Linked DNA regions of Coturnix japonica. The main gene of each other region encodes a partner of the protein of the gene in region 2 in a complex. Links are inferred from orthologs where the notes say so. Each region holds a gene or a part of one and is shown on either strand. Other genes may lie near its edges. The genes, in order: CHP1 and SLC9A3.

Region 1 (9,133 bases), on a different chromosome or scaffold from region 2:
CCTATTGGGTGCCGCTCCCAGGCATCCGCCGTCCACTTCGGATACTGATTGGTAGCCGGCCACGTCCATCACGGAGGCTCGCCGCCCGCCTCCGAGGCTGTGGTTTCCGATTGGTCCCCTCAGAGCACACGCCCGCACAGCGATTGGAGCCGGAGCGAGAGCGGGCCGGGCTGCGCGAATCCGCCGTTGACCTCCACGGGAACGTGAAGGAGCCGCTCGGGGAGGGAAGGGAAGGGAAGGAAGGGCGGCTGCAGCGCAACGGGCCGCGCCCGCGGGATGAGCCGGTCCGGCCGCGCTCTTCTTAACCTTCTCCTTAAGCTTTTATTTTATTGCAGGCATCTGCATGGATTCATTCGGAAGGATTTTAAATTAAAACACTGTATCTTCATTCTGTACAACTTGTACCACCTCTCAATTCACAACTCAGATACACACGCTGTAGAACACTGGATAAGACACTGAGCTGCCAAACTAGAGAATCGTGTTTTTGTATAGCACGGAAGCCTGAGGAAGGCTGCTAACAGCACTTATCAATCAGCTCCTTCTCATGAAGGAACATAAAAACCACCTCTTGCAAAACCAATGCCCATCTCTGAAACCGGCCTATAGACCAGCATCACTGATGGTGCAAAATTCCATAAGCTTAAGGTCACCTTCCTATTGCTTCACATCCCAGACAGCTTCTAATTGATCTAAACTGCTAACAGCAAAGTCACATTCTGCTTTTTTCCTTCCTCCCTCCCCACCCCCAAGGGAGAAAAACCACCAAAACACACACACACAAACCTTGTTTGGAACCATGGAGAAATGTCAAGCTCCTGTTCTTACCATCCATGTGCTCCTGTGGAGCTCCTGCTTTGCACTACTGCTTTCTTCCACTTTACCAGCAGAATGAAGGATTTTGGCAGCACTCTGAAAACAAACTAAGTTACAAGAATTCATCCATAAATCACACTAGCAATATTTCAGCAGTACTTAATTTTTCAAGCCTGAGGATGCCCAGTTACAATAAATACTTTGTTTTTTTTAACACAGTGGAAGGTTTATTTATGGATTGACAAATACAATATCCAGTCTCACTGGGACAATAAGGCACAACTGTAGGTTACAACTATACAGCCAGAAAATGAGAGCAAAACTTAATTTAAAGCAGATCGCAACACCTGCAACTTCAAAAAACACTTTAGCGTTATTACAACCCTGTTTAACATGACAGTCAAAACTTCCTCCCCATACAGAGGTTTTTGTTTCAGGACTTGTGCTGCACTCTGCAAAACAAAGGACAGCATTTTGCTGTGCAATTCCTTAAAACAAACCAGAAACCCTTCAGAGACCTGCGTGTTGTTTTATACAAGTAAATGATTCAAGGAACAAAAGAAAACAGAACGAACATCTGAGGGTACTTGGAGACTGGCAGTATTCATAGAAATATTAACAAACAACAAAGAAGCAGTTGTAACAACTGATTCTTCACTATAGAAGCTCTTAGGGCTTTTTGGTTTTATAGAAGGTCCTCCCAGACCACAGGCTGCTCCAGCTGAACTATGTGAGAACATTTACCATCTAACCACAGAAAAGTGCGCTGCTGTTGAACCTTCGGTACTTCTGACATCCTGTTTTGATCAGGAGCAAATCTATTAACTGCATTAAATGAAAGATAAATGGAAGGATAATTATCTTGTACTTGCAGAGAGATTTATCTAGAAATATATCCTGAAATATCACTAGTACTCAAACTTTTAATATGTACTTCCCAAGAGATATTTGCATGCCCGACCTTCCATAAATACATCTAGCACAATCAACACAAATCTAAAAGACCAGAACATCCATATAGGAAAGTGCAAATAATCACTAGAATTAAGAAAAAAAAAACTCAGTAATGTTTCATGACACTTACTGGGGCAGTGACAGAAAGACAAATCCCAGCTTTTGGCATGAATAGTTCTCTTGCATTCTGTATGCTGGTAAACAAGTTTACACCTTCAGAGGCAAAGCCACTCAAATGGGAAGAGGGATCTTAGAGTAAAGCAACCTGGAAAAGGTACTTCATGGTCCACTGGCTCATAGGAAAGAAACATTCCTGCAGCAAATGCAGAAACAATTTAAGTGACTTAGTGCGGAGTTCCTATTTCCTTTGAAGACACCACTGTGTCCATCACCACCACGCATTCTCCTACTGTGCCTATTCTCCTACTGTGAGAGCCAATCCCAAAAAGAAGAAAGCCTCCACACCACACCTCTGGACTGTTACCATGCATTCTGTGTTAGTTTTACAGTGACGCCATAAGAACAACATCTTTTTGTAGAAGTCAAGCTTTGAAAGCAGGGAACAAAACTTCCACATAAAGAGCCAACTAAGGAAGAAAGAGATGGCTGTGATGTAAAGCTGCTACTGGAAACCAAGGTGAAGAATTATCACCACATCTAGTATTTGAGCAGATGCTTGTCTCCAAAAAGCGTTTCAGAAGGCAGTTCTGTGGCATTTTCTTTTTTCCATTCTCAGATTCAGAGCTCAGAAGAATCAGTTTGTAGATTAAACTGCAGTACATAGGAAGGAGAAACATTTACTCGCAATGCAAAAGACGACAAGAATTAAAAATTAAAAAACAGAAGGATTTTTTTTAACACTCCTTCCCAAGTTGCATGGCAGCTATTTCTCTTAGTTCCTGATGCACAGGGAATGTTCACATTGGTAGAACAAACCAGTGAAGGGTTGGAGATGTATTTTATATGCACCAGTAACAACGCTCTGGGGAAAGGTGATAAGGAAATAACGAAGTTCTATTCATTGTATAGTAACGGTAGAAAGGAATGGGTTCTCCATCCATCAGTGAAGAAATCGAATACTCATTTTCTGCTCTACATCCACCTTCTCCAAAACCTGCAATAAAATCCAGAAATAGTTATTTTAGTTAATTTACACAAGATACTTCTTTCCTGCAAGTAAAAAGAAGATGGGCAGGAACATGGAGTATCTTCAATTTGGCATGACGTTCTTTCACCTAGAGACTGCAGTGTTTTGCTGCAGAAACTTCAGCTGTTTAAACCTGAAGAAGGATGTCAACTAAAACACAACTGATGCAGGACACCAATAGCCCAGAGAGAGCTGAACTATTCTCAAAAGTAGACTGTGTAAGAATGCCTGATGAGGAAACAGAAGAATGGACTAGAAAAAGGGGCACAAGCAGTTGAACTAAAAGAGCACAGCAGACTATTTTAAAGCTGAATTTAGAGTAAGTTAAGTTCTAAGAGATTCCTGGAGATCATTTAGTTCAGCTCTCTCAGACAGCAGGGCCAGCTAGATCAAGTCACTTAAGGCCTCAACCAGTTGTTTTAAATCTCTCAAATTAAGGGTGGGTTTTATATCTCTAGCACCCAATCCTAGTAAGCATTTCCCACATTGCAACTTGTTTGTGCTGCATCATCTCATCTTTGTCCACATCCAGGATGAGTCTAGTTCCTTCAATCCCACCCCAGTAGGTTAAAACCACTTTTTAGTGGTTTTTCCACTTTTTCCTGCTGACTATCTAATGGCTCCTTACTACCAGCTGTTTCTGACAACCATCAGAAGACAATTAACAGGACTACAGCTAGAAGTTTGTATATGAGTATATACTTAGTTGTGTAACAGATAAAATACTCAAGTGAAATTGAATCAACACAATTATAGCAGAATTACTTTGCTGTTAACTGCTCATCAGCCTATTTGTGTAGAAAGCAGCATTTGTAATAGTAATATTGTTTGGTGCATTAAAAATCTCTATTGCCTCATTATGAGCTGGTTTGGGGAGTATATTGCTATCTGATTTTTAAGCTCATCACTGTTACATTAAACACCTTACTCTGGGAGATAAGTTTCATTCAGGATCTGATGCCTGTAGTAGTCTTAGCAAGAGATGAACATTCTGCAGTATGTTCAGTGCTGTAGCTTATGCTAGAGAAACATATGGACTAATTATTTGCACAATAAGAGAATAGCTTAAAAAAAAGTCCTAATAAGCCAAATGCAGGTAGAAGAAATACTTGAATAATTTATTTTTCCACGTGCATTTAAGTCTGAATGATTTGTCTGTTTACTGCAGTTCCATTTAAGTAAGTAATTTACCAACCTTTACAAACTCTTCAAAGGAGATGGCACCATCCGCATCTGTATCAGCTTCCTGGATTGTCCTGTCAGCAATGCTGCCAAGCTGCTCATCTGAGATGTTGACACCAACCATCATCCGTAACACCTGCAATGTATACAAGTCCCTAGATTATTATTTTTAATCATGAGTGATATAAAACCACAAGTATTCTTAATGCTGTTTCTCGTGTATGCTGCTTTTAAGTCATGACCTAGACAACTCAAAGATTTCCATGGAAATACTTTTAGACATTTTGGGTAGATTACTATTATTATTGGTCCTTTATATAAAGGATTCCAAGAAAGAAAGCTTTCTTCTTCAGCCAGCTTTTTCACTAAGCAGCTGAGAGGCACAGAAGTAGTAAAAAAAAAAACAACAAATAAACAAACTTCCCAAACCAGGAAAGAATAACACTTTGTTCCAATGCTTCTAATTTTTTCCCACAAAAATATATGGATACTTGATTTGAGTGTCTACAGTTCAAAATGCTTCCTACAGGAATTTTCTAAGTATAAGCACAAGTGATAGCAGCCAATACCTCCTAACATTTAGTAAAGCATCTTCTGCACAGATTGAAAGTGGGCAGTTTCAGTCAAAATCAAAACCTTGTCCTACATAAAGAACCACAAATTGCCATGTCTACTTCCCAGGATTAGTAGTATGCAATTACTCTAAGCTCAAGCTTAGCTTAAATACATACAGCCACTGATGAACTCTGATTATCTCTGCTGGTCTTCACTGCATTTACACCAAGTTTTATTCTACTTTGTGAGGACAAGGACAACCAGAATGACTGCATTCACCCCAGCAACATCCCCTAAGCTAAAAACACCCTTGAAGATGCTCTTAAGTGGCTCTAGTTTCTTTGTTGGGTTTTTAAGCATCCTAACCAAGAAGACCTTCCTTTTACGAATCATTTCTAGTAAGATCTTACTGAGCCTAACACTGTAGTTTAAAACCAAATCTAGAATCCCTGGTCTGATAAAACAATCTGGGCTACCAAATGAGGGTAAGGTTTCATATATCTCTGGTTTAAAGCTTTAGGTAACAAATAGACACAAATTCCTGCAAGGATTTCATTAAGATTGTTACCAACACCCCTCTTCATCCCAAACGGCACGAAATGTCAGATGATGGAATCTAAAGTAGTCTCCAGTTATTTACCTGAAGCAGCTCATCCCTGGAAATCTTGCCATCTTTATCTAGATCATATAACCGAAAAGCAACTGCAGGGAGAGAAATATAGTACTAAATTCAAGCATCATTGTTTTTCTTTCTGACAATTACCTATAAAACTAATAATAGCTCATTATAAATCATTTAAGATAATTAAGGTAGAATTTTGACTTGCTATACAACTCATGTTCTGTTCATGAAAAGTTATTACCACATCCAGGAATATTATTGCCAAGAAGTGAAAAACATTAAGTACATCCTCAAGTACTCAAAGTTTCAGAAGTATTCTACCTGCAGAGTTACTTCTTTAAAGCCCTGAGCCACAGAGGCTCTAAGATATAGTCAGTGCTTTAACTTCAGAGCCAGCCTTTTATTTAACACTTGTTCACTACCTACAGCTATACTTCAGCTGAAATTAACAACTTTTAAGTGCTCCAGGAAGCACTGCCTAGTGCATTCAGTAAGCACTATATTACACAGAAGACTGGAGAAAGAAAAAGAAAAGCCCATTCATATAAAAAACATGGCTTCTAAATATGAAATAACGTTGCAAACCATTTTTAAACACTTGTTATGAAGCCTTCAGGAAAAGACATATGAACTTAAGATTCAAACAATTCTATCAAATTTTACACAAATATAGGTTGACATTCTGGACAGGTAAGAATACAAGTTCATGTAAAAACCAGGTTATTATAAGATATCATTCCACACAGAAAGACCGTGTAGTAAATACTTAACACCTCTGCTCTCTTCTCAGAGAAAGAAAAGAATATGAATTGCTTCTAATGGAAGGTTCACATTTCTTACAGTGGAGCTTGCTATTTCGGCTATTCAGGGGTTCCGATCCATTCTGGTCTTTGCTCTTTTCGTTATCTTCTATGGGCCGGAAGTGGGCTAGTGTCTTCATGAATCCACGGAAATTCACTTGGTCCTCTCTGCACAAGCATTTTAGACAGTTAGCTCCAGCACAGTTCACACGGGCTTTTTATTTCAATAAAAAACAGTAAGAATGTCTCAAGTGTCCACACCATGAGAATTCTTAATTCCTATCTCTCCAGGGTTTAGCAACCTGTGACTAAAACCAGCTCTCTGCAGCTGTAACCTGGGATCATACTTCTGCAAAGATTGAAGTGTGATATATGAGGGGAAAAAAACTGCAAGAAGTCTTGTTACAGGCTGCTCCCCTCTTTGCCTATAAATTTAAATTCAAGTTTTCACCCTTTGCCCTTGCCTAAGTTATCCTGCAACTACACCCAAGTCCAGAAGTGTATCTTACTGATCTGAATCCTGGCCTACAACACTGAAAATCTCACTGCCTCTTTGGATTCAAGTTGACAGTGTCATAAGATACAGCTTCAATATGATCCAAATTAGAAAGCAGAAGTTGATCTGTTAACAAAGGCACACTTAGAAGGCAAAAAAGCAAAGAAAAATTGAATTTGTTAACTGCAACACTACTTTACATAAGGTATTACTGCTACAAGTTTGCTTTAAGAATCAAAGTCCATGCCCTTGACCCTCTTAAAAAGCAGCATAGCAAGAATGGACAACAGTGACACACAAGCAAATCTCATCACTCAAAGGATATAAAACTCCTGTGAGAGAAGAGTCTCTTATTATGTAATGAAAGTGTACAGAGGAAACAACAAACCAACATGACTAGCAGAAGTCTGAGATGTTCAGTTATCACTGAATTCAAATTCTGTGCTTTAATCATCTCTTTTCTCGTATTAGAGCTCCTGACAAACTACATTTTATGACTATTCACTAATTCAGGCGGTTGGAACTTACCCTTCTGAAAAAAAGGCATTGATAATTCGGTCTCCCAGAGGATTGATGGCAAGCTCTGGAATCCGCTGGAAGTCTTCACGGCTAAGCAAAGCAAGAACACAACACATCTGTATAAACAAGTATGCAAGTCACAGGAGAAAAAACTGCTTCATAAGAATTGAGATGCTAACACTATTTGTGCTAGACACAACCCTAGAAACGGTGCTCACTAGTTCTCAGTTTAAGGAAGGAAAACTTCTGAAACAGTTTTGAAGTAAACTTCTTAAACCACATATTTTGGAGCTACATCTGACAATGATTTCTCCAGACTAGTTCACTTCAGATTCACCAATTCATCACCAATATTCACCGCACTTGTAAGCCATTCTCCCTCCTGCTCATAATTATATATAAGCACATAGCTAGTATACACATAGCTATGCTTATATTGTGTCAACTGTTCTGAACTAGAAGACAAAAGCTATGCTGATCTAAAATAATGTATTCATGTCAGTATGATCATGAAAACAGGGTCCATTTTATCATTAAAGTTGCCCTGTCAATTTTTCTTCCAGCCTAACAATATCTCCTTGACAGGAAAGTGGAGTAATCCCATTGTGGTCAAGGCAGACTCATTAAGCAATTCTCTGTGAATACCTCCAGAATCAAAGGTTTTTTCACTACAATAAAGCACAGCAGTTCATTAGTAGAAGATACATTTCATGGTCATCTGGGTTTTAAAGTACAATAACAGCAACACACTAAGGCTACAAAAACAAAACCCACAAAATTGGCCTCCAAATCCCAGCCTATTCCGTATTAAGTATACTGGCCTCTTTAATAACAGCATGATCTTAAAAACAGGAGGAAGGTCAGAGAAAGATCAAGCAAGACGTTCTGACTGCAAATGAACTCTAAAGTATTCCTAGTACTTAGTTACACCACAGCACTGTTAGTCCCAATTATAGTACGTCTGTTACAACATGGCTAAAACTGTTTGACCTTCTAACAGAATGACCTGATCATATTTTTAAGCCTACATCTGCTCTGACCAGGTATTATTTTTTAATTGGCAAAGTCACCATCTGCATAACATAATCAACTAGCTACCCTACCCTTCAGGACTGCTACCTTTTCAAGCTATAGCTGAAGGGTAGAGCATGCATTAATGACCCAGGTAGGAGGAGCAGTGATGTGGGAAATGTGCACTCTAGAAACAATATTTCAGCAACACGCTTCAATGCTAAAATTTAGGATCTAAAAGCAGCAACTGCTCTCAGATTCCATTCAAGATAAAAATCTCAACACTTAGAATTTTTCTACTTGCACCTCACTGTTTCTTAGTATCAAGCCTAAATTAACACTCAGCATTCCAACCTCCAGTTCCACTTTATAGCAGATTAACAATTAACCACAAATAACTCCCCAGGTTTCAAATCTATTTGTCCTGTCATTACCAGGATTGCAGTAGACCATTTTTGCTTGTAAAGAGCACATTACTGAGTGAGTGGTTATAATTGAAATAGCTCTAACAGCCATAAAAGTAAATGAATGCATGATGCAAGTTATTCTCCACTTCATAAAGGAAAACTTCCTGCGGTCATTTGGGACCAGCTTCCTGTGGCTGAGGCTGGAGCTTACAAGAAATCAGCTGCCCTCTGCTTCTGTTTTGGTGACACAGCAACATGCTCTTCTCACATGGCTATTTCCAGGGCCCAGATGCCACTAAACCCTTGCTTAAACATAACATGCAGAGCAACCTTTAGCTTCATGTTATTATGGAGACTGAATGTTTTGTATGTATGCCAGAGCATTCATAGTTTGCAGCAAGGAAATTCTGAATTTTAAGACTGGACTCTTTATTTTCCTTCCATTATTTCTGGCTGTCTGCCCTTTTACTTCAGTGTGTAACGAGTGGGTGAAGCAAACTAAAACAGTAAAAAAAGGGGGAGATGTCCAGATGGTGAAGACAATAAGAAATATTTAAACTTCTAGAAAAGAATTAAAAGGATATAATATGAAGTAGATTAAATAGCAATGTGGCCAGATTTAAC
Region 2 (10,591 bases):
GGATACCTTGGGGAAAAAGGACTGTGAGAAACAAATTCATAATCCCAGGCTTGAGGAGAGTACGAAGAGCACTGTTAAAGGATTTGCTTAGAAGAGTCTCATGGGATGTTCTGGAGTGAAGAGAAATGGAAGAAATATGATTAGTCTCCAAGGATCTCCTCTAAACTCAGAAGAAAGTTATTCCAGCAAAGAGAAAGACAGGCACAAATGTCAGGAGACCTGTATGAGTCAGCAAAACAAAAGCTGAACACAAGAAAAATGTAAACGGAGGGTGGAAATAAGGACAGGTAACCTGTGAGACATACACATGTTGAAGAATACAGTGATGAAGTTAGGAAAACTGAAGCCCAGATGGAATTGAATCTGGCCACAGATGTTAAAGGCAACAAGAAGGGCTTCTGTAAATAAACCAGTGACAGAAAGAAGACTAGAGAAAACATAAGCCCACTGAATAAGATGAGGGTTGTGGTTACAGAGGACAGGGAAAAAGCTGACGTGCTGAATGCCTTCTTTGCCTCAGTTCTTACTAGCAAGACCGGCCTTCAGGAATCCCAGGTTCCAAAGACCTGAGAGATAATATGGAGCAAATAAGATATACTGTTGGTGGAAAAGGATCATGCCAGAGAGTACTTAAGCAAACTGAACATACCCAAGGCCATGCATGCTGATGGAATTCACCCAAGAGTAATGAAGAAGTTGGCAGATGTCATTGTAAGGCCACTTTATCTCTCAGAAGGGTACTGCTATTTGTGTAGACATGGGACAGAGTGATGAAGAAAAATGGTATTTTAACAGTAGCAATGAGCTTAAGCTGGCCTTACTGAGATAATTTACCTTGTGCAGGCCTGTAATGATTAAATCTGTAAATTGTAAGGTCAGTAGTCTAGGTAGCAAAAATAAGGCAGTAAATGTTACTCAGACTTCAGTAATGAGCCTCATTGTCACTGATTACATTGTCACTACAAAAACAAACAGACCAACAACAACAAAAAAGTGCTTTGTAGTTTTTTTAGTGCAAAGCAATTAGCTGTTGTTTGAGGAAACATTAAGGTAGTCAACAAGATGTAAAACACATATAAAAATCTTACAAGTTACCCACATGTTAATGAAAATATAAAAACACTCTCTGCATCCTGGGATTTTGAACAAGAGCAGCACATATAAAGCAGCATGCAGTGGGTATCTTCAGGTAAAAAACATACTACCCCTGTTTTTTGTTTGTTGGTTGGTTGGTTTTGTTTTGTTTGTTTTTGTTTTTTGAACAATAGCTATGTTTTAAGATACATTCTCAGAAAAGAAAAAAAAAAAAGAAAAAAAGAAGAAGAAAAAGAAGAAAAAGAAAGAAAAAAACAACTAACTGGACTTGTATACAATGTTCTTAGATGAAACTTGAATACTGTGTCCAATTCTGGGCTCTACAAGTTCAAAGAAGACAGAGATCTTCTAAACAGAGTCCAGAAGAGGATCACAAGGATGATGGCCTGGAGCATCTCACATATGAGGAAAGGCTGAGAGACCCGGGTCTCTTCAACCTGGAGAAGGCTGAAAGGCATCTCATCATTGTTTATAATCTAAAGCGCAGGAGTCAAGTTGATAGGGACAGGTTTTCAGTGGCATGCAACAATGGAACAAGGGGCAATGGGCAGAAACTGGAGCAAGGGAAGTTCCATACAAACACAAGGAAGAACTTCTTTACTATGAAAGTGACAAAGCACTGGAAAAAGCTGCCCAGAGAAGTTGCAAAGTCTCCTTCTCTGGAGATACTTAAGACCTGTTTGGACACTTCTCTGCAACCTGGTGTAGGGAACCTGCTATGTCAGGGGAGTTGTACTTTATGATCTCCATAGGCTCCTTCCAAGCCCTACAATTCTGTGATTGTGTGATTGTGTGATTTTATCTCCTAAGCTTATTATTCCTTGTCTTCTGCCTACTTCCAGAGCTCTTTTTCTCCCACCTACTTTTGGCTTTTTCTACAACAGACTTTGCTCCCACTGTTTGTACATTCTATATGTATATTTATTAAATGATTGTTTTCAAGTTGTGACCCATTAAAGGCATATAAAGAAATAGGGAGTGCATGGCAAGGTGAACTTACTTAGTGACATAGTCTAACTGTAAATAACAAGCATGTATGTATGTGTTCATGGTTTTGTTCTGTTTTTGTTTTTGTGTGTGTGTGTTTTTTTGGGTTTTTTTTTTTTTGTTTTGTTTTTTAATCAGAATTACTTGTTCAGTTTGAACAACTGAGGTACCAGAAAGTCGACACCTAGCGGAAGAAGTCTACCAGGAGGGTTCTCAGATGTACCTGATGTACTTTCTTCACACAGATAAGATGTTTTTAAGGCTTAGCTTTACACTTATGAGTAGTTTATTAGCCTAATCCCATAAGGATACTCGTGTAGTGATAAGAAAGCATATCAAAAGAGGAAATAAAGATAATTAGATGGAACACTGTGAACCTTAGAATAAAGAGCTGGAAGACTTCAAATAAAGAGCGTCACGTCAAATCACTTATGAAATGTGAAACAGTAGACTGAGATGCATCAAATGCATCAATATTAGACACAGACTGAGTATCTTATAGTTCATGAAAGCCAGCTGTCTGAAAACTCTTATTCCACAGTTTTGTGCCAATACTTAGAGGTGATCTTGCATGTATAAAAATCACTCTGCCCCCCTCTCTAAAAAATCCAGAACAAAATAATCATTGGGAACATATATTCCTCTGCAGCTATCCATTGCTTCTTAAGAGACAACATACAGGACAGTTCAAGATTGCAATTATAAATGTGAGAGGAGTCTGAAGTTTGAGAGCTTAGGAAATGATGGAATTGATGATAGACACTCTCTTCTTACTAGTAAGTGATGTGCTCTGTGCAGCTATGAAATAAGTGCAAATAATTTTAGAATTGAACAGTGGTATTCAGCTTCCAAACTCCAAAAATAAAATATCTGTAGATATACTACATAGTTCACAGTAAAATGTCTCATCTTAATTCAAGACAATCTTATTTCAAGCCTTGGCATTTTGAATATAGGACAAGACCTGTGATCTGCACTGAGTTTCTGCCACAGCACAGATATGGTTGTTACCACTAATATTCTGAATAACGCTGGTACATATGGAAAACAAAGTCTTAATAACACAGAAAGTTAATACTTACTTAGAAAAGAATGTCAAAAAGAAGGTTCAGACAAGCAGTCTATTTATTAAAATTAGTAAGCATAAATTTACAGAGGCTCAACATTGTCACTGCTTTTTTCACCATATCTTGTTTCTCCAGTTTTCTACTCTATATAACTCATCAATATAAGTCAATTAAATCAAAACTGCATTTTTTATATATACTCTAGATAATGCAGCTACCATCTGAAATACTTGCAGTTCAACACTGATTTCGTTGACAATATTTAGCTTATGGTTCCATGAGCAAGCATCTAAGTTTAGACACTGCTGAAAACCACTTAACAATATAACCTTTGCATAACCAGTCTCCTCCCTTTTAGAAAAGTATCATTTGGATTTATTTGAATGTGAAGGCAGTACTTTCTGCTCACCCTTAGTGCATTTAGCTTATGTACAACTAAATGCACGATCTGTCTGTTTAGACCTTTCATTTGGTGTAACGTGCAAAACCCATGGTGTAAGATACTGGCATCACAAATCAGTATTATCAGTACAAATGTAGGATATTAGTATGATTTTTAGCTGGTCACGCAATCAAATTGAAAATGACATGGTATCAGCCAAACTGACAGTGTTCTCATTTTAGATCCAAAAGTTAAAAGTATCCAGTGGAATGGCATCAAACTGATTCAGGTAAAATTCAGACTGGATAGTAGAAAAAGGATATTCATAAGCAACTAATTGGGCACTGGAACAGGCTACCCAGAGGAGTGCTTATGACACCAAGCCTTCTGAAGTTCAAGAAATGTTTTGTGCAATACTCTCAGATGTAGGGTTTAAATTTTAGATAGTCCTGTGTGGAGCCAGGAGCTGGGCATGATAATCCTTGTGGATCGCTTTCAATACCAGATATTCTATGATACTACAGTTTTAATAGAAAATAATAGCATCATGGAAATAACATACATTCCAAATAAGCATGCACTTTTCTAGTTCAACAAAGATTGCTTTTGGAGGTGTTATAAGGTTCAGAAAACAAGAACTAGAGTATTCATGTGTATTTACACATACTGCATTCAACATAGATTAAGTAATTGTGTTTCATTAGTTCTCTTTTCTTAAAGAAAATTCTGTGTGCTCTGAAGTTTGTGAATTTTCAGCTGCAACAAATGATCTGAAAATGTTACCCTTCCCTGTAAAATATTTTTTCTTATTTTCTTTCCCTAATTCAACCATGCTTTGCAAAGCAGAGATTGCTAAGTTCATAAATTGGTTTTATTGTGTTTATTTGTGTTGATGGTAGCTAATAAATCTATCAGTTATATTTAAAAGGACAGCGTATTGTCAGTTGGAATGGGCACTCTATCAGCAATAAGGCTTAATCTTTGTTTCAAGTCTGTAAAAAGTTTTTCCTGAGAACAACTGTAATGAAGGGCTTCAAGAAATGCCTTGTATATGTAAGGAGTCGGATACAAAAGCTAGTCTTAGGTGTTGAAAATGAACTACTTAACTCCCTCAGGCAGGTGAAAATCACACTGCTAAGCGCTATGTAAGGCAGTATTATGAAATCAGGACAGAGTACAGTAGAACCCCTGAAAACGGGTCAGTGGACTTCTGATAAGCTCTCTTCATTTATGCTGGATGTGAGAAGGGAAAAAAAGGAAGGGGAAGGAAGAGGACATAATATATAACTCGGGACTCACCAATTTTGGCCAAGCTGGCCACAAGTATCCAGAGTGTAATGACATAAGGGTCCTTTACATGATCCCATTTGAAAGAGACGATCTCAAAGCTCTGAGGATGGCTGTTATTTGTATGGCTTCCCGAGCTTCTCTGTCCTAGCGCTGCTGGGAGATCCATCAGTCCCAGGAGGAACCCCATTCTAGAGACCTGTCTCATCTCCAAGTCACACAACAGAAGCCTGTTTCCCCTTCCCGGAGAAATCCCTCCTCTTCGGAGGTCCTTGGGGGAGAGGTCCTCGTCTCCTCGCAGAGACGCTATCGTAGAGACTGTGGAACTGGGGGCAGCGGTGAGTTCTGCAGGCAGCAGAGTGGGTCCTGTCCCGGAACCGTCGGCACGGCTGCACGGGCCGACCCAGGTGCTTCTCTGCAAGCTGTGATCAAGAAAGGGTCAGGGACTCTGAACATAAGCAGATGCTGCGAGCTGAGTTCCTGCCGCTTTCCCGCACCTGCCTTTATCTAGCTGTTCCAGATCGGTCGGAGGCGGAGCTTTTGTGACTGCGGAGCCAGCGGTGCTGCCCCTAGCTGAGCACCTTTCGGGATCAGCAAAGAGTTCCGCCGAGGCGGCAACAGAAGGTTGTGGGTTGTGCCAACCGTCCCGGCTCGGCTCCGAACACATGGGGGTTGGAAAGAAGTGACCTTATGCTCTTGGTGCTAGGGGCCAAGGCTGGGGTGCTTCCGCACGCACGTCCCAGGCGGAGCCCAGGATCCATGCTCAAGTCGGAGTTGGATGAGGAAATTCGTCCGGGTGCGTTTGAGGCAAACGGGTCAGACCCAGTACTATAGTACTGACGAAGGGAGTGCGTTTTTTTTCTGCTCTTCAGCTTCAAATCGCGTTCGGATCTGGTTGGCTGAGCTTTCACTTCTGTCCACCAGGGAGCACCTCTGCCAGCAGTGCTCGAGGAAATTACACCAGCAAGAAAGGTTTGACTTTCTGTTTAGATTTGCTTGCAGCTCTTTGATGAGGAGTGCTGTATTAAACTACTCTTTGTCTTATTTTCCTGTTCCTTTTTTATTTGTTACCACATGAAATATTTTAGAAGCTTGCTGCCTTTCCCCAAAGTCAAGACAGCGAAGCAGCATGGTCTCAGCAAACTGCACCTTTCTACACACTGCAGCAACATCTCTACCCTCTGTTCCATGCTTTGAAGCATTCCAACTGCTACATGCTGTCCACAACTCAAGTTACCTATTCAGGAAAAAGATTATCTGTTTCACTTACGTAACAAAAAGTTTGGTCAAGAGATCACAAAAGAACAGGATAAGGTCTCCTTTAAAATGCTCAGAAATGAAAGAAATAACTTTGATTATTTGAAACATTTGAGAGAAAAGCTATGTACTTTCTGGAAATTCAAATGAGTTATTATAAAGCCCTCTATAAATCAATTAACTGGTAAATCTAAAACAATTTGCATGGGATGTCATTGTTACAAAGGGGGTCTTTCACTATTACATAATCTAATTTAGCCAGGGAAGTCAAGGAATGAAGATTTTATATATTAATTCACTGAAGATTTGCTTATTATTACTCCAAAGCAGTGCATTGGGCCCTCTTCAAACAATGAAGCGTATTACTGTTTCTCTTACCTTGCTTCTTCATTACTTAAAAGAAAGGAAATCATGTAGGATTTTTTTTAGCCTGGGAAACAATCTGAAGCTAGAATATGCAATATATTTAGGAAGCATGGCTGACAGTAAAATATTTTCTTTACATTTAGGATATATTATAGTCAAAGACCTGAAGAATAATTCCATATCTAACAACTAAAATCCTACCTATATTGTTTTTATTTTTCTAAGTGTCAGTTAGATACCCAAATGCCCTTTAGAATCTGGGCCCATGTTTTCTCAAAGGTTCTACAAAGGGCCCTGATGCACTGCCATTGTAGAAACAGAACTAGAATTGGAAGTATGTAAGTCTATAACTGTTGCTGAGACCTGTGGATAGTAGTAGTTCCTAATTGTTAATGCAAATTCTAGTGGTTGATATTAGAAGAACAATGAACAATCTGTCAACACTGCTTTTATTATCTCAGTGTATTCCACATTCTACCATACTACAGTTAATCACATAATTCTAGCAGCAGCGCAGCACAAATGTACAAATGCTGTAGTGTTCCATCTTATAAATGTAATTCTTCCCAAATCTAGTCCCACAAAATAAGAAATGGTTTAGAAACAATCCTTATTATTGAAAATAAATAAATAAATAAATAAATGAAAATCTTTTCCACAGTTTATTTTAAAAAAAAACAAAAACAAAAACAAAAACAAAAAAAACCCCTGACATTTCACTTGAAACAGCTGCAGCCAAAATCATGTCATCATTGCCCTTAGGTAAAGGACAGTTCATGACAGTAGTGGTGGCTCAGTAACTAAGTTAAATCAGGGTTCTGATAATCCTGGTGGAGATAAAGCAGTAGTAGCAAACAGGAAAAATTATGGAAATACTGTCTTCACACAGACAAGGTAGTGTTAATCTGCTCATCAGTTGCCAGTATAATACCCAGTGGTATTTTTACAATTTGTAATAATCCTTGAAAACCTTTAGTCTAAACTATCACAGAAGTACATAATTTTGCTTGCTATAAAATCTTTACAAAACATTGTCTACAACACAGTTAAAACACAAACATTGTATTTTTTTAGCAATAAGCTCATGATTCAAAGTGTAATTGTGAAATTTGTCCTATCATCCAATGCCTCCAGGATATTTTCTAGATGTTTGGATATCAAATTGCTGTGTATATCAGAATTATTGTGCAATTCATTAGAATGTTAGAGTAATACAGAGCACACAGAGAAAGGAACCAGTAATTATGGATCATCTGTAGGTACTTGAATAAATGCTAAAACAACAGTCCATATGTATACCTATGTGAGAATGTATACTTTACATTTACTTATTTGTTCACAGATTCCTTTTTTTTTTTTTTTTTTAAGTTTTTTTTTTCTTTTTTCATCTCACAGTGCAATGAAAACAAACCCTTGTAGAATTTTTTAAGTTTCTGTGTGAAATCCCTTAAGCAGTTTCATAGAATCATAGAATCACAGAATGGCCTGGGTTGAGAAGGACCACAATGATCATCAAGTTTCAACCCCCCTGCCATGGGCAGCGTCACCAACCACTAGACTAGGCTGACCAGAGCCACATCCAGCCTGGCCTTGAATGCCTCCAGGGATGGGGCATCCACAGCCTCCTTGGGCAGCCTGTTCTGGTGTGTCACCAGCCTCTGTGTTAAAACCTTCCACCTAATATTTAACCTAAACCTCCCCTGTCTCAGTTTAAATCCATTCCCCCTTGTCCTATCACTATCCACTCTCGTAAACAGTCATTCCCCCTCTTGTTTATATGCTCCCTTCAAGTATTGGAAGGCAGCAATGAGGTCTCCCCGGAGCCTTTTCTTCTCTCCAAGATAAACAAGCCCAGTTCCCTCAACCTCTCCTAGTAAGAGAGGTGCTCCAGCCTTCTGATCATCTTAGTAGCCCACCTCTGGACCCATTCTAAGAGCTGAGCTCCATGTCCTTCCTGTAATGGGAGCTGCAGGCCTGGATGCAGTACTCCAGATGGGGCCTCACAAGAGCTGAGTAGAGGGGGACAATCACCTCCCTCTCCCTGCTGGCCACCCCTTTTTTAATGGGGCCCAGAATACAGCTGGCCTTCTGGGCTGCAAGCACACACTGCTGGCTCATGTCCAGCTTCTCATCCACCAGGACCCCAAGTCCTTCTCTGCAGGGTTACTCTCAAGGAGATCTTCCCCCAGTCTGTAAAAATACCTGGAACTGCCCTGGCCCATGTGCAGCACCCTGCACTTGGTGTTATTGAACCTTATTAGGTTTTAATGGGCCCACTTCTCTTATCTGGTCCCTCTGGATGGCTTCCCTTTCTTCCAGTGTATTGACTGCACCACTCAGCTTGTGGCATCTGCAAACTTGCTGTTGGTGCACTCGATGCCATTGTCTATGTCATTTGTGAAGATGTTGAAGAGTGCCGGTCCCAAGACCAAGACCTGAGGGACACCGCTTGTGACCGGCCTTCACTCTGATGCAGAACCATTAATCACAACTCTTTGGCTGTGTCCAGCCAACCAATCCTTAGTCCACCAAACAGTCCATCCTTCAAATCCATACCTCTTTAGACAGAAGGATGTGGTGAGGGACCACGTTAAAGGCCATGTAGAAGTCCAGGAAGATGGCATCTGTTGTTTCCTGTGGTTTCATTCTATATCAGAAAAAAAAAAGCCCTACCTGGAGTACTGTTTGTAATAAACAGAACAAATCACACAATGGCTGATATTTCCTGACTCTCTCAGAGGACTGCAAAGGGAAGAGTTCTTCTTATTATACTCTCTTTGAGCTTTGAGTGATTTTTTGTAACAAGAAGATCTCCAGCACAGTTGCTTCTAGAAGTATTTTGAAATAATCACTTAGCAAAAAGAAATAGTATTATCTTGTACACCCTTCGTGTGGTCTATGTGTGGTACAAGTAAGTTCTTATGTATTGTTTTCAAGCTGAGGTAAAAGATAATTTCAGTTTAAAATGAATAAAAAATAAAGAGATAGAGCGAAGTATTTAAAATGTTATTAATTTTCTCTAGAAAGCACACATTGAAAAATTCGGTTGCTCAAGGGGTGCTCTGAAATTAATGCCTCCTCTATTTATTATGTTTGCCCATTACATCAGAGGCAGATGCTGATGGCATGGCAATAGAGTTTGAACTAATCTGCTAATCTTCCATTACATTTTGGAGCTGTGTGACAGATGGCAGCAGTAGATCAGTCTAACAAACTGGCATCTAACACAGAAGTCCATATGAAGCAAAGATGTGTAATTGAATTCTTCCATGTGGAAATAATTGCCCCAAATGGCATTCATCAACACTTGCTGAACATTTGTGGATACCAAAGTGGATGCTATCACAGTGAGGCAGTGAGTGGTGCATTCCAGCAGTGGTGACTGTGTTAGTGCGTCACCTCCTCTGGTGCCAGTTCTTACAAGTGCAGCATTCTGGGTCTTGTTCACCACTAACAAAAATGCATAGCCAATGGTAGTAATTATATTGAAACATACTGCTTCGTAGCTGAGAATTTGCTCTACCATAGAATCATAGAATCACCAAGGTTGGAAAAGACCCACAGGATCACCCAGTCCAACCATCCAATGATCACCAATAGTTCTCACTAAACCATGTCCCTCAACACAACATCCAAATGTTCCTTAAACTCCACCACCTCCCTGGGCAGCCCATTCCACTGCCTGACCACTCTTTCAGAGAAGTAGTATTTCCTAATGTCCAGACTAAGTCTCCCCTGGCGCAGCTTGAAACCATTCCCTCTAGTCCTATCACCAGTTACACAACAGAAGAGGCCAACCCCCAGTTCACTACATCCTCCCTTCAGGTAGTTATAGAGAGTGATAAGGTCACCCCTGAGCCTCCTCTTCTCAAGACCAAACAATCCCAGCACCCTCAGTTTTGCCACATAAGGCCTGTGCTCCAGACCCCTCACCAGCTTTGTTGCCCTTCTTTGAACACGTTCCAGGACCTCGATGAGGGGCCAAAAACTGGACACAGTACTCAAGGTGTGGCCTCACCAGTGCTGAGTAAAGGGGGACAATCACTTCTCTGTTCCTGCTGGCAATACTGTTTCCAATGCAAGCCAGGATGCCAAGCACCAATCAATACCCCCAGGTCCATTTCCTCTACACAGTCTTCCAGCCACTCCA

Evidence for each region.
Region 1: the proteins of SLC9A3 (region 2) and CHP1 are in contact, whole or in part, in a cryo-EM structure (PDB 7X2U), measured with the Homo sapiens proteins. The link is inferred for Coturnix japonica from reciprocal best matches to the Homo sapiens genes SLC9A3 and CHP1. Residues at the interface, in NP_004165.2 of Homo sapiens: Tyr396, Arg397, Met398, Gln400, Glu402, Arg474, Leu475, Asn476, Glu477, Leu479, His480, Gly481, Arg482, Ala483, Phe484, Asp485, His486, Ile487, Leu488, Ser489, Ala490, Ile491, Glu492, Asp493, Ile494, Ser495, Gly496, Gln497, Asn501, Arg504; in NP_009167.1 of Homo sapiens: Arg30, Leu31, Arg34, Leu38, Lys40, Glu49, Phe51, Gln52, Arg53, Ile54, Glu56, Leu57, Ala58, Ile59, Asn60, Pro61, Leu62, Asp64, Ile66, Phe70, Phe83, Leu87, Phe90, Leu115, Phe117, Ala118, Leu121, Tyr122, Leu135, Leu139.

Annotation. Positions count from the first base shown.
Region 1 is NC_029520.1:21,957,599-21,966,731, reverse strand, and holds the end of CHP1 (calcineurin B homologous protein 1), read right to left. Parts: intron 7,182-9,133; coding exon 7,101-7,181; intron 6,245-7,100; coding exon 6,117-6,244; intron 5,357-6,116; coding exon 5,295-5,356; intron 4,236-5,294; coding exon 4,113-4,235; intron 2,885-4,112; coding exon 2,831-2,884; 3' UTR 1,025-2,830; downstream 1-1,024. UniProt on the Homo sapiens protein: Calcium-binding protein involved in different processes such as regulation of vesicular trafficking, plasma membrane Na(+)/H(+) exchanger and gene transcription. Involved in the constitutive exocytic membrane traffic.
Region 2 is NC_029517.1:72,717,345-72,727,935, forward strand, and holds the start of SLC9A3 (sodium/hydrogen exchanger 3), read right to left. Parts: upstream 5,053-10,591; 5' UTR 5,027-5,052; coding exon 4,831-5,026; intron 1-4,830. UniProt on the Homo sapiens protein: Plasma membrane Na(+)/H(+) antiporter. Exchanges intracellular H(+) ions for extracellular Na(+) in 1:1 stoichiometry, playing a key role in salt and fluid absorption and pH homeostasis.